Linked DNA regions of Stegostoma tigrinum. The protein of the gene in region 1 interacts with the protein of each later gene in a biochemical or structural test. Links are inferred from orthologs where the notes say so. Each region holds a gene or a part of one and is shown in the gene's direction. Other genes may lie near its edges.

Region 1 (3,752 bases):
AGGTAGTAAGCCAATGTAGAATATAAAATCCAATTAGATAAAACATTGCAAAAAAAATTCAGCAGGGACCCACCAACATTGGAAATACTTGATATGTTGATCAAACGCATGGGCCATGCATGGCAAGGATGAATAAACAAGGTTTCTACCGGTAAGGATTCTTCAGTACATCAATAACATTATTCAAATTAGTTTGTAGACTCCAAATAATTACACATTCATTTTAGTAATTTGCAAGCCTATTAAGTCAAAAATTGTAGATCACTTCCAATATGTTAGTGTTATTTCTATATTTAGTCAGTCCTAATATGCCAAAGCTTTGATAGTATATTTTGCAGTTTCATAGAATCATACAAACAGTAGGTTACATGTTTGGGGCAACTTTTTGAAACACCTATTCAATTACATCCTCTCCCATTCCCTCGAACTCCCTTTTTTTATTAAAAAAAGTTTCAAGTAAAAATCCAACTTGGTACTGAAACTGGTTTCCGCGACTCTACAGATTCCAAACTATAATTAGGCTGCACTAAATGAAATCACCTCAACGTTTTGCCAATCGTCCTAAACGTGTTTAAATCTCTGGTCAGAAATTCTTCTATCGGTTTAAAGAGTTTCTTACTATCTATTTAATAAAGACTTTTCATAAAGTTGAACAATTTTATTTTAAGTAGCTTCTCAATCTCGACCTCTCTGGAAAAACATTCGCAGCATTTCCAGGTAACTGAAGGTCACATTCCTTTCTAAGTCATTTAGACTGAGGTAATAGTACAATGGCACAAAAGTTCCAGAAAAACACAGCGCGTACAGAATACTAAGTCAGCGGTTTCCCCTTTCGCACCAATCGAGCGGTCTGGAGCGGAGATTCGGCAGGAAATTCTGCATGTGGTTATATTACGTGACTAACAGCAATAATAAAGGGGGGGAGGCCGCAGATAAAATCAAATCGTGTAATTCCAATAAAATATCACTGACTCTTCATGCGTTAGAGACAGGCGGAAGCATCTAAACAGCTGATTTGACCCAAAGAAGTAAAACAATCGAATCGGCAGACCTAATATTACTATTAACGCTACAGCATCCGAAATCGCGCGAGGCCACACCGACCTTTCCAGTACCTTCGGCCGCAGCCGTTTAACGGTCTCGACGGAAAGCTGCGCGTGCGCTTCTGGGTTGTCGGCGGCGATTGGAGTGAGGCTGCAGCGTGAGCGTGAATGAAGTTGGTGCAACTTGGGAGCAGATTCAGTTTTGTGTGGATGGGATTGAATGTCTGTGAAGACTGTTAAATCCGGGGATAAACAACTACATACATATACACACAGACAGGGCTTCCCTGGGCTGGCCTTGCACCGACATTTGTTCTTTTTTTCCCTCTTCCATCTGGAAATTTTGTAAGAGATGAGGGAGGATCCCCGCCGTCATTCCCAGCCGGTGTCAGCTGTTTACCCCGTGAAGAGATTGAAATGCGTGTTTGCAGAGAACGACGGCGCAGGGGGTAAATACATTATCGTCCTGTGTATTTGTGACGAGTGGGTATTTTGAAAGAAACTTGCTAATTGTTGAGGCCTCCTTTTCATTCTTCGCTTCTGCCATCATCATCATTTAACCGGGCTCCATGGAAATGTCAAGGAAAGTTGCGTATTCCGCCGTCACCTCCAAGGCTCCGGGCTGTTCTGACAACTCTGCCGGGCTTGGGATCTAGTTTTGCATCAGCCCGCGTTGTCACACGATTTCCTCTTTGAAACGTTGATCTGCAAGCTGCTTACCGGAACGATGTCCAAGGTATTAAAAAAGAAAAGTCACTGGACAAGTAAAGTCCATGAAACTGTGATATGTAGAGATAAGGATGGGGAACTGAATGTGGAGATCAAAGGTGGCGCAGAGAATGGTTTGTTTTCGTATCTGGGAGAAATGAAACACAACAAAATTAACTACGAGGATGGAAAACTGCATACTGATGAGTTGTTATTGGAAGTCAATGACACAGCAGTGTCAGGGCTCACTATTAGAGATGTATTGGCTGTGATCAAGCATTGTAAGGACCCAATTCGTTTGAAGTGTGTCAAACAAGGTACAGTAATCTTCCAATAATGTTAACTACCAGTTTCGTATTAAAGCTGCATGTATTTTTCACTTGTAATGCGTAAATAACCGTTTTTGAAAGTTATGTCTGACATGGAAATTGCGTTCCCTCGAGTCTGATAAAGGGCAATAGGTGAAATAATCAAAAATGTACAAATATAAAGTTAGAAGCTGTGGTCCGAACAGGTACTGTTAAATATCCTATTTTGGAAGATCTGTCTTTGTACCGTTTTATGCCTAAAGAAATTTTATTAGAGTGTTGAGAAGTTAGGAGAAAATATTTTCTTCTATCTTCCAAACTAACAGGTCTGTTAACTATTTTAAAATTGCCACAACTTTGCAGTACATAAACGATATATGACAACATTGCAGACAAGAATTCTTAGATGATGTCAGTATTGTAGGAGTGAGTGATGAGAACACCTTTGAAGTAAATAAAACTATGTATTGAACCAAAATCCTTGTGAGGTTGCAAAACTAAAGTCTTGATTTATTTTCTGCACAAATGTCATGTGATGAATATTTGTTCTAATGACCAGCAATTGTTTTCACAATATCCTTGAAACATAATTTATTTTAGCCTGGGTGCAAAGCCATTGTTTTCTTTCTAATATGTTGCAGAATGAAAATAATGTTAATTTCTATGGAATAATTGTAATCAATGGACACTGGATAAAGTCACATATTCATTAACGGGTTGACCAGGAGTTCTAAGAATGGATAATGGTGAATTAACATCAAGACATGTATTCATGACATTATCCTGTACATTGAATAGACTGTCTATCATGTATGAAATTATGTGGATGGCAATGCTATAGAAGAGTGACAATAAATCTAAGATTATTAATTCCAAATATGACATTTTCTATTTACTGAATTCCCTAGTCCAAATGTTCAGCTTGATCCACTCATTTATATAAATAACAAAGTACTTTTCATAATTCTAAGCTTTAAATGTTTGTTCTAAAAGTTGTTTTTCAGAACAATGACCTGTTCAGTACTATAACATATATGTTCAGGCAACCTTTGCAAAAATAAATCATATTAATAAAAGTTACTTAAACTTAATTTTGAGAAATTACAGGAATGTGATTATCTGTATTGAGGATGCAAATAATGTTCTTGTGGGGTGGCCATAGGTGATTGTCAATTTTTTTTTTCAATGTATATCGGCAACATAGGAAATATTGGAGAAGTAAGAAAGCTAAGAGGAAAAAAAGGAATGAATCAGGACCACTTGGATAGTTCACCAATGTAGTTTTATAGATTTTTAAATAGCAGGTTGTATTTGACTAGTGTTCAATAATACTTTGCATAAAAATTAAAGGAAATACTGTGTATATGATTTATATGGATTTTAAGATTTTCAACAAAATACAATACGATTTGTAACAATATGACATTGAGGGGAATTAAACCACACACATGAAAAAAGTGTGTTAGACTGCCGAAGACAGTACAGGTAAAGTTAAGTTTCTCAGGCACACCATTTGGTGAATGATATTCCACAGGGCTCTGTATTGAAAGTATTGCAATGTATGTAAGCAAGCAGCACTTAGGACATGAAGCAATCACAGTGCAAATTTATTGATGACATGATACAGAAGAATGTTGAAAATTGTGATGAGGATTTTGAAAGACTGCCGGAAAACTTAGGCAGGGAATTTTGG
Region 2 (3,752 bases), on another chromosome or scaffold:
AGAACCAGAACTAAATTAGTTCTCATTCCAAAAATATTGGAAGCATACTTGCCCCCATCAAAAGATTAATAGCAAAGATGTAAGTGAATTACGTATTTGAAGTAATTAGAGAATGAGAGTACGAATGCAGAATTGGCAGGGTTGCAGGGTAAGTCAGAGGAACAGAAGATATTGTCCCTTTCAACAGAATAAGCCATCAAAAATGTTTAATGCAATGTCAAACAACCACTTTAAAAAAACTGGATGAATACTTCAGTAGTAAAAGTTGACGAACGCTGAGGAATACCAGTCCAGTTCTTTTAAAGACCTGGCACAGACTCCAATAGACCCCTTCAGTTCTGATTGATTCTGTCACTCTCAGGAATAAGTGATGTGGTCTCTGTCACAGAAATGCATTTTGCGGTATACGATTGGTCAGGGTTGAAAATCGGACGCTATCAATAAGAAAATAATCTTTCACTTGTTCATTCTCAGGGTTTAAAGTAAGTTTCATAGTTTTATAAAGTTTCGGGAATTCTATTAACATTTTATTAGATACTTAAATAAAAATGTACATAAAAGTGTAAATTGAACATGGTATATTGAATAGAATGGGCTTCGTGGACCTAATTCCTTTTGGTTATTTACTTTCTTGTGATAAGATAATCCTCCTGTTAAATGGCTTAAGGTCTGAAGTGTAGTTTTAGTTTGAGTGAGAAAGCAGAATGAGGGACTAGCAACTTGTGAACAGTCAGCGACCTCAGGATCCATTCCGAGTTCTAAATCCACAGCAGGGTGTACGTTCTCTGAACTGCAGATAATCTTCTCAAACAGTTCTGATATGGAACTGGGCGGGACCTCTTCCACTGCTACTGAAATTCGAGCTAGCAGCACAGTCTATTCCTGGCCCCCCAAAAATATTTACAGGGACTTACCGTCACTCCCCGAGTGGTTGTCAGCACATTAATCCACGTGAATTCAAAACTAAATAAAAAAGGAAAGACCCAGTGGGGTAAACGTTTGGAAATGAACATTGTGATTAGTCCAGTCTCGTGTTTCTGTAAAGTTCAGGTATTTTCGCCAGGATTTCAGAAGCTGCTTTAAAATATATACCAGAGATAACTGATTGGGGGAAAAAAGTTATCTTTTTCCTCTCTCCCTTAACTTGCACTCAGGGCACCCTCATTGAAGTTAATGCTCTCTAAATGGAAGTTGGAGATGTGGCGTCAGGAAGAGGCTCATTGGAGGAACTCTGTGTGCGACGTGAAAGGGGAGGGCGCTGTGCTGCTCTGACCCCCCAGCTACAGGTTGTTGGTGCCGCCACAGCCAGAGGATGAAGGAGGACAGCACCACACACAGCATCTGCGGGGACAATCTCCGATGAAAGCGACGTGATCTCCTGGCTCGGTCAGCGGCACTCTACACAATGGGAGACCGCCTGTCCTCTGAGGATTGTCACACTAACAAATCCAGCACCATCCTCTTTGTTAATCCTGCAAACGGGGTAAGTCCACACGTGCCTCAGCAAGAGTTCTCTGAGCAGTGGGTGATAGGGATGGGCACAGTAATGGCCAGCATCGTCCTGATCATTGTCCTCGGAAACCTCTTGGTGGTTTTTGCCATCGCCAGGAACCAGCGGCTGCAGACGCTAACCAATGTTTTTATTGTGTCTCTGGCCTGTGCAGATCTGATTATGGGCTTGTTGGTGGTGCCTTTCGGGGCGACCTTGGTCGTGCGAGGTAACTGGTTGTACGGCTCGGTTTTCTGTGAAATCTGGACTTCGGTCGATGTCCTGTGTGTGACGGCGAGCATCGAAACTTTGTGTGTGATCGCCATCGACCGCTACGTGGCGATCACTTCCCCGTTCCGCTACCAGAGCTTACTGACGAAAGCCCGAGCCCGGGCCATCGTGTGTGTGGTCTGGCTCATCTCTGGCCTCATCTCCCTGCTGCCCATCATGATGCACTGGTGGAGGGATGACCAACCCGACGCCATCCGCTGTTACAATGACCCCTGTTGCTGTGACTTTGTCACGAATAAAGCCTACGCCTTGGCTTCCTCCATCATCTCCTTCTACCTGCCTTTAGTCATCATGATCTTCGTCTACGCCCGCGTCTTTCAAGAAGCCAAGAAGCAAATGAAGAAGATTGATAAGTGCGAGGGCAGGTTTTATACCAGTCACTTCATCCCAAACGGCAGGTCAGCTCGCAGGAGACCCTCCAAGATTATAGCCATTAAGGACCACAAGGCGTTGAAGACTCTGGGGATTATTATGGGAACATTCACCCTGTGCTGGTTACCCTTTTTTCTAGCCAATGTGGCGAAGGCTTTCCGGACTGACATCGTGCCCGGCAAACTCTTTCTGTTTTTCAACTGGCTCGGCTATGTCAACTCAGCTTTCAACCCCATCATTTACTGCAAGAGTCCAGACTTCCGAGCCGCCTTTAAGAGGTTACTGTTCTGCCCCGGCCAGACAGACAGTAACAGGCTGTGCACGGGCTCCGGGGAGTTCTCCCGGTGTTCGGGCGTGTTCGGCAACACTCTGGACCCGAGGAGCCTGGAGACATGGTCAGAATGGAACAGGAGCCAGGAGCCGAACGGGGGCGGTTTGGACAGGCACATGGGCGAGAACCCTGACGACCAGGAGTCCCAGTTCTAGCGCGGGTGGAGTGCGGGCAGCAAGTCCAGCTTCTCAGACAGAAACGTTCAGGTTCCGTGGAGAAGACAAAAAAAAGCGTTGAAGACAGAGCAGTGAGTGCGGGCGAGCGGTCCCACACCCACTCAGTATTGTAGGAAACAGGCATTGAAACCCAGCACAGACCAACTCCGCGGTGGATTCCTGCCGCAAGCGATCGTTCCCCGCAATTCTGGAGAACGGAAGGCCAACGTAGATTAACACTAAGGTTTGGATTCGGAGCGATCCTAGACTGTAGCAGCGGACACGCTTTGCCAGGATGCGCTGACTTTCATCGGACGAAACAGCAGCCCACCGTTTTGCAACAAGAATGGTGTGTCCCGCTTAAATCACATTCCATGGTCAGAGGCAATTTCCAACGTGGATTAAAGAGGAGCTCTCGGTTACATGAACAATCGCCGTGTCCCCAAAATAACGGGTCGTTAAGGTCATTGTGTTATTATTTTCAACGTTTTGGATTATGTTAAAGAGAAACCACAAGTTTCATTTTAAAACAATTTGAATAAACAAAGGTCCACCGTCTAAAACAAAATATTTCAGATTTTCTAACAGCTGGTCAATGATCTGTCAGTGACCGACGCCTCGTATAGGAGTGGACATTCGGAGCAAGACATGGATCCAGGTGTTGCTGCCAATTTCGTGAAACCGCTCTCTCTCACTGTAAGACTGTGTTTTGAATAACACTACCTCCAGCTGTACAGATTGTGTACAGATCTATTTATATCAACCATTGTTTATATTAAACAAATCGCATTTTATATATTTAAAAATAGACAAAGCGACACGCAACCTCAGAGTTGACCAGTAGAAAAGTTGAATGAATAGGGGTCAGTTACTTATTTAATTAATTTAAATTCCACACAGGACCAACTTCACCTGCACTTTCCTAAGTGTGGAAAGTTGGTATTTCTCAGTACGAAGATTATGTGCGGCACGTTGTTAACATTGGTGAATATTTTACAGCGCATCTTAGTATGGATAGAACCAAGTAAACATAAAACTCCGGGTAAGCTTTCGAAAATGAAGCATCGGAGTGCAGAAAAGGGTACTCGTGTCGAATGGTGATGTACTGCAATGT
Region 3 (3,752 bases), on another chromosome or scaffold:
ACAGGGACAAGTTGGGCCGAATGGCATCTTTCTGCACCGTGACATTTATTTGAAGGACTTCAATTGTATGGAAACAAGGATTGTTTGATTTTAGACCGAGAGAGTTAACGGTAACCTAAAAGAGAAACTCAGGAATGTGATAACTTAGAGCGAGCTACTGCGGTTTGCTCTGATCAATGGCCCGCGCTCAAAAGGGATCCAATTTGATAAAGAAATCAGATGAAATGACAAAGTTTGCTTTTCACACGGAATAAACTCCGTGACTGGATGTGACATGAGTTACCAAAGTGAAAGTTGAAAAAGCTCCCCGGTGTCCCCGGACAACAGCCTCTTACCGCAGCCGGCTGTTAGCACCACAGTCCCAGTCCCACCCCCCGCCCCGGAATCGGGAGGGGTCGCTCGCTCTGAATTTCGCACAAGACCGAGCAAATTCTGATTGATCCAGTGCACCGGAGCGATTGGGCGAATGAGGGAGGAGGAGAGGGACAGAGAGGCATACAGAGTGACGGTCAGACACAGAGCCGGAGGGAAAGAGGGAGAGAGACGGAGAGGGGTGGTCAGGGCAGGAAGCTACAGAGTATGGTCAGTGATAGACGAAGGCGGGGGTGGGCAGAGGCGGAGAGAGATACAAAGAGGGTAAGAGAAGGGGGGCCGCAACGGAGAAAGATTGAGTGAGAATCAGAGCAGAGAGGGACAGAGTCGGGGAGAAGCGCAGTGAGGGTCAGTCAGAGAGGGACAGAGACTGTGTGAGAGTCAGAAACAGAGAGAGGGGTCAAAGACAGAGAGGGAGTAGTCAGAGATAGAGAGGAACAAAGACAGAGAGAGGGACAGAGACCGAGAGAAGGGGGGACAGAAACCGAGAGAAGGGGAGACAGAGACCGAGAGAAGGGGGGACAGAAACCGAGAGAAGGGGGGAACAGAGACCGAGAGAAGGGGGGACAGAAACCGAGAGAAGGGGGGACAGAAACCGAGAGAAGGGAAGACAGAGACCGAGAGAGGGGGGGACAGAGACCGAGAGAGGGGGGGACAGAGACCGAGAGAAGGGGGACAGAAACCGAGAGAGGGGGGACAGAAACCGAGAGGGGGCGGACAGAAACCGAGAGGCGGGGGGACAGAGACCGAGAGAAGGGGGACAGAGACCGAGAGAGGGTCAGAGATTTAGAGAGGTGGAGAGAGATTGAGAGAGGGAGTCAGAGACCGAGAGAGAGGGAGTCAGAGACCGAGGGAGAGGGGGACAGAGAGGCGGACAGAGACAGAGAGAGGGAGTCAGAGGCCGAGAGTGGGTACAGAGACTCAGAGAGAGGGACAGACATTGAGAGACGAGGAGAGAGACAGAGAGAGAGGAACAGAGATTGAGAGAGAGGGACAGAGACTGAGAGAGGGGGAGTCAGAGACTGAGAGAGAGGGACAGAGAGAGGGAGTCAGAGATTGAGAGAGAGGGACAGAGACAGAGAGCGTGAGTCAGAGATTGAGAGAGAGAGGGACAGAGATTGAGAGAGAGGGACAGAGACAGGGACAGGGACAGAGATTGAAAGGGAGGGACAGAGACAGAGAGAGGAAGTCAGAGACTGAGAGCGAGGGACAGAGACAGAGAGACGAAGTCAAAGGTTGAGAGAGAGGGGGACAGGGACAGAGAGGGGGGACAGAGATTGAGAAGGACAGAGAGAGAGAGGGGGGAGACAGAGCTTGAGAGAGAGGGACAGAGACAGAGAGAGGGAGTCAGAGAGAGAGGGGGGACAGAGACTGAGAGAGCGGGAGTCACAGACTGAGAGAGGGGGAGTCAGAGACAGAGAGTCAGAGATTGAGAGAGACGCACAGACAGTGTGTGCCAGAAATGGAGAGAGACTGAGTCAGAGGCTTTGAGAGAGTGACAGAGACAAAGGAAGAGGGACAGAGACGGAGAGACAGATCGCATTCAGATCAGAGAGAATCTGGACCATTTTCGGGGACACTTTAGTGACAGAGCCGCGTGGCGACGCCGAGAACAGTGGGAGTTCTCCTGCAATCCGGGAAGGCGATCTTTCTGCTTGTTTGAAGCGGTTCCTGCTGCCCTGGGAATGAAGGAGGAGGACGAAGAGAGCAGGACAAACTGATTATCTCTGACCAGGTCAGAGACTCCGTGCAGTAGCTGCTTTTGTGCAACTCCTGAAAGCTGAGGGTAAGACCGACTTTTCATTTATTGTTACAATTTGAAAAGCAATAGCTAGGAATCTGATACAGCGTTGAGGGAGACGTATGGAAGCTGGAATTTTCTGCAGCTGGGAGCGAGGTGCGGTGATGTTCTGGATATGGGAGCGGTGAACTTGCTGGGCAGGAGACAAAAACAGAAATTGTTTGAAAATCTCAGCAGGTCTGGCAGCATCTGTGGAGAGGAATCAGAGTTAATGTTTCGGGGCCACTGACCCTTCCTCAGAACGGGATCTGAGAATTAGTCCCTGTCCTCTCCCTGAGGCACTGTACTGTTTATTTCTTGTTCTAGTTCAAAACAGAAACGATTCTTTACGTTCTGATTACAAAACAAAAGCTGAAGTGCGTCCACAAACTGATCGAATCTAGAGAGATTGGAGATCGAGCCAACTGAGCGAATGTTGCTCGAGCGAAACAGAATAAACCAGTGATTTATGGAATATCACAGAGAATAATTATATATATCTCAACAGCAGCTCAGGATGGTCAGATATAGATACCTTTCAGTAATCATTATGTTTCATTTAATTTGCAGCAGTTGGTTTAACCCAGCAGAAGATGAGAGCGCGTTGGATGTAAATTTACCCTTGTATTTGTATTTGACAGAGTGTTTCACCCCGATTTGTTCGGAGATAGAGTTCCCCTGTTTGGAAGCTGTCAGTGCAGACACCATTTCTCCATTTGAACTGGAGCTTCTGCGTGCCGGCATTTCTGTTTGAGCTACCCTTCCAACTCTTGCTCAGCTGGAATTGAAGTAGCTTCTTCTTGTTTTTTTCTAGTCCTCGGCAATACGATCTTCCCTGCTATATTTATTCTCCAGCTCATCACTGTGTTGCATTTTACATAGAGTCCCCATAGAGTTGCCCAGTTGCTGACACATGGAAAATGCATCCAGTCTCTTTTCCAAGTCACTGTATCACAGCAATGTCTTTTACTTTCTCTGCTCCTTTCCTCATGTTTATAGCTTTCTTTCTGTGTTTTACACCCTCTACCTTTACAGCTCTCTTACATTTATGGTTATTTCCTTTCCTTTTTATAGATTTTTTAAAAAAAATTAGCATTTTTTGTTGTGTATTTTGTCTGAAGTCTGTCTCTTGTCTAGCCATCCAGTTATGCCTGTCTCCCCGATGTTGTTTAATTCTCTGCCTATACATCTTGTGTCTGACATCTCCCTCAAATGATAGTCTGTCTGATGCTAACTTGTCTTTTTGTCATGTGTCTCTTCTCATATCTTATGACCTAAGCTTTGTCTGTCAGATATCCCTTCTTCTTTAGTAGCTGTCCGTCACAGAATCACAGTATGTTATAGTGCAAATGAGACCATTTGGCTCATCATGTCTCAGAGCATTTCAACTTTTTGCCCTTCTCCTGTCTTTCCTCCACAACTCTGCATGATTGTTTAAAATAGAAACAATGTCTTTTTGAATGCCTTGACTGTACTTACCTTAGCCACACTTCCAAGTAGTGTGAAAGAGATTATTTCTCATCTTGCATTTGCTTCTTTTTGTGAAATACTTAAAATGGTGTCTTCTGGTTCTTGAATCTCTAATAAATGGGAAACAATT

Evidence for each region.
Region 2: the proteins of membrane-associated guanylate kinase, WW and PDZ domain-containing protein 2 (region 1) and adrb1 interact in a test that uses a peptide from one of them, tested with the Homo sapiens proteins (4 studies listed by IntAct, with this or other methods). The link is inferred for Stegostoma tigrinum from reciprocal best matches to the Homo sapiens genes MAGI2 and ADRB1.
Region 3: the proteins of membrane-associated guanylate kinase, WW and PDZ domain-containing protein 2 (region 1) and corticotropin-releasing factor receptor 1-like form a complex in vitro, tested with the Homo sapiens proteins (2 studies listed by BioGRID and IntAct, with this or other methods). The link is inferred for Stegostoma tigrinum from reciprocal best matches to the Homo sapiens genes MAGI2 and CRHR1.

Annotation. Positions count from the first base shown.
Region 1 is NC_081378.1:25,514,877-25,518,628, reverse strand, and holds the start of membrane-associated guanylate kinase, WW and PDZ domain-containing protein 2, read left to right. Parts: upstream 1-878; 5' UTR 879-1,770; coding exon 1,771-2,068; intron 2,069-3,752. UniProt on the Homo sapiens protein: Seems to act as a scaffold molecule at synaptic junctions by assembling neurotransmitter receptors and cell adhesion proteins. Plays a role in nerve growth factor (NGF)-induced recruitment of RAPGEF2 to late endosomes and neurite outgrowth.
Region 2 is NC_081373.1:23,476,322-23,480,073, reverse strand, and holds the start of adrb1 (beta-1 adrenergic receptor), read left to right. Parts: upstream 1-934; 5' UTR 935-1,405; coding exon 1,406-2,638; 3' UTR 2,639-3,752. UniProt on the Homo sapiens protein: Beta-adrenergic receptors mediate the catecholamine-induced activation of adenylate cyclase through the action of G proteins. This receptor binds epinephrine and norepinephrine with approximately equal affinity.
Region 3 is NC_081384.1:41,196,799-41,200,550, forward strand, and holds the start of corticotropin-releasing factor receptor 1-like, read left to right. Parts: upstream 1-1,143; 5' UTR 1,144-2,158; intron 2,159-3,752.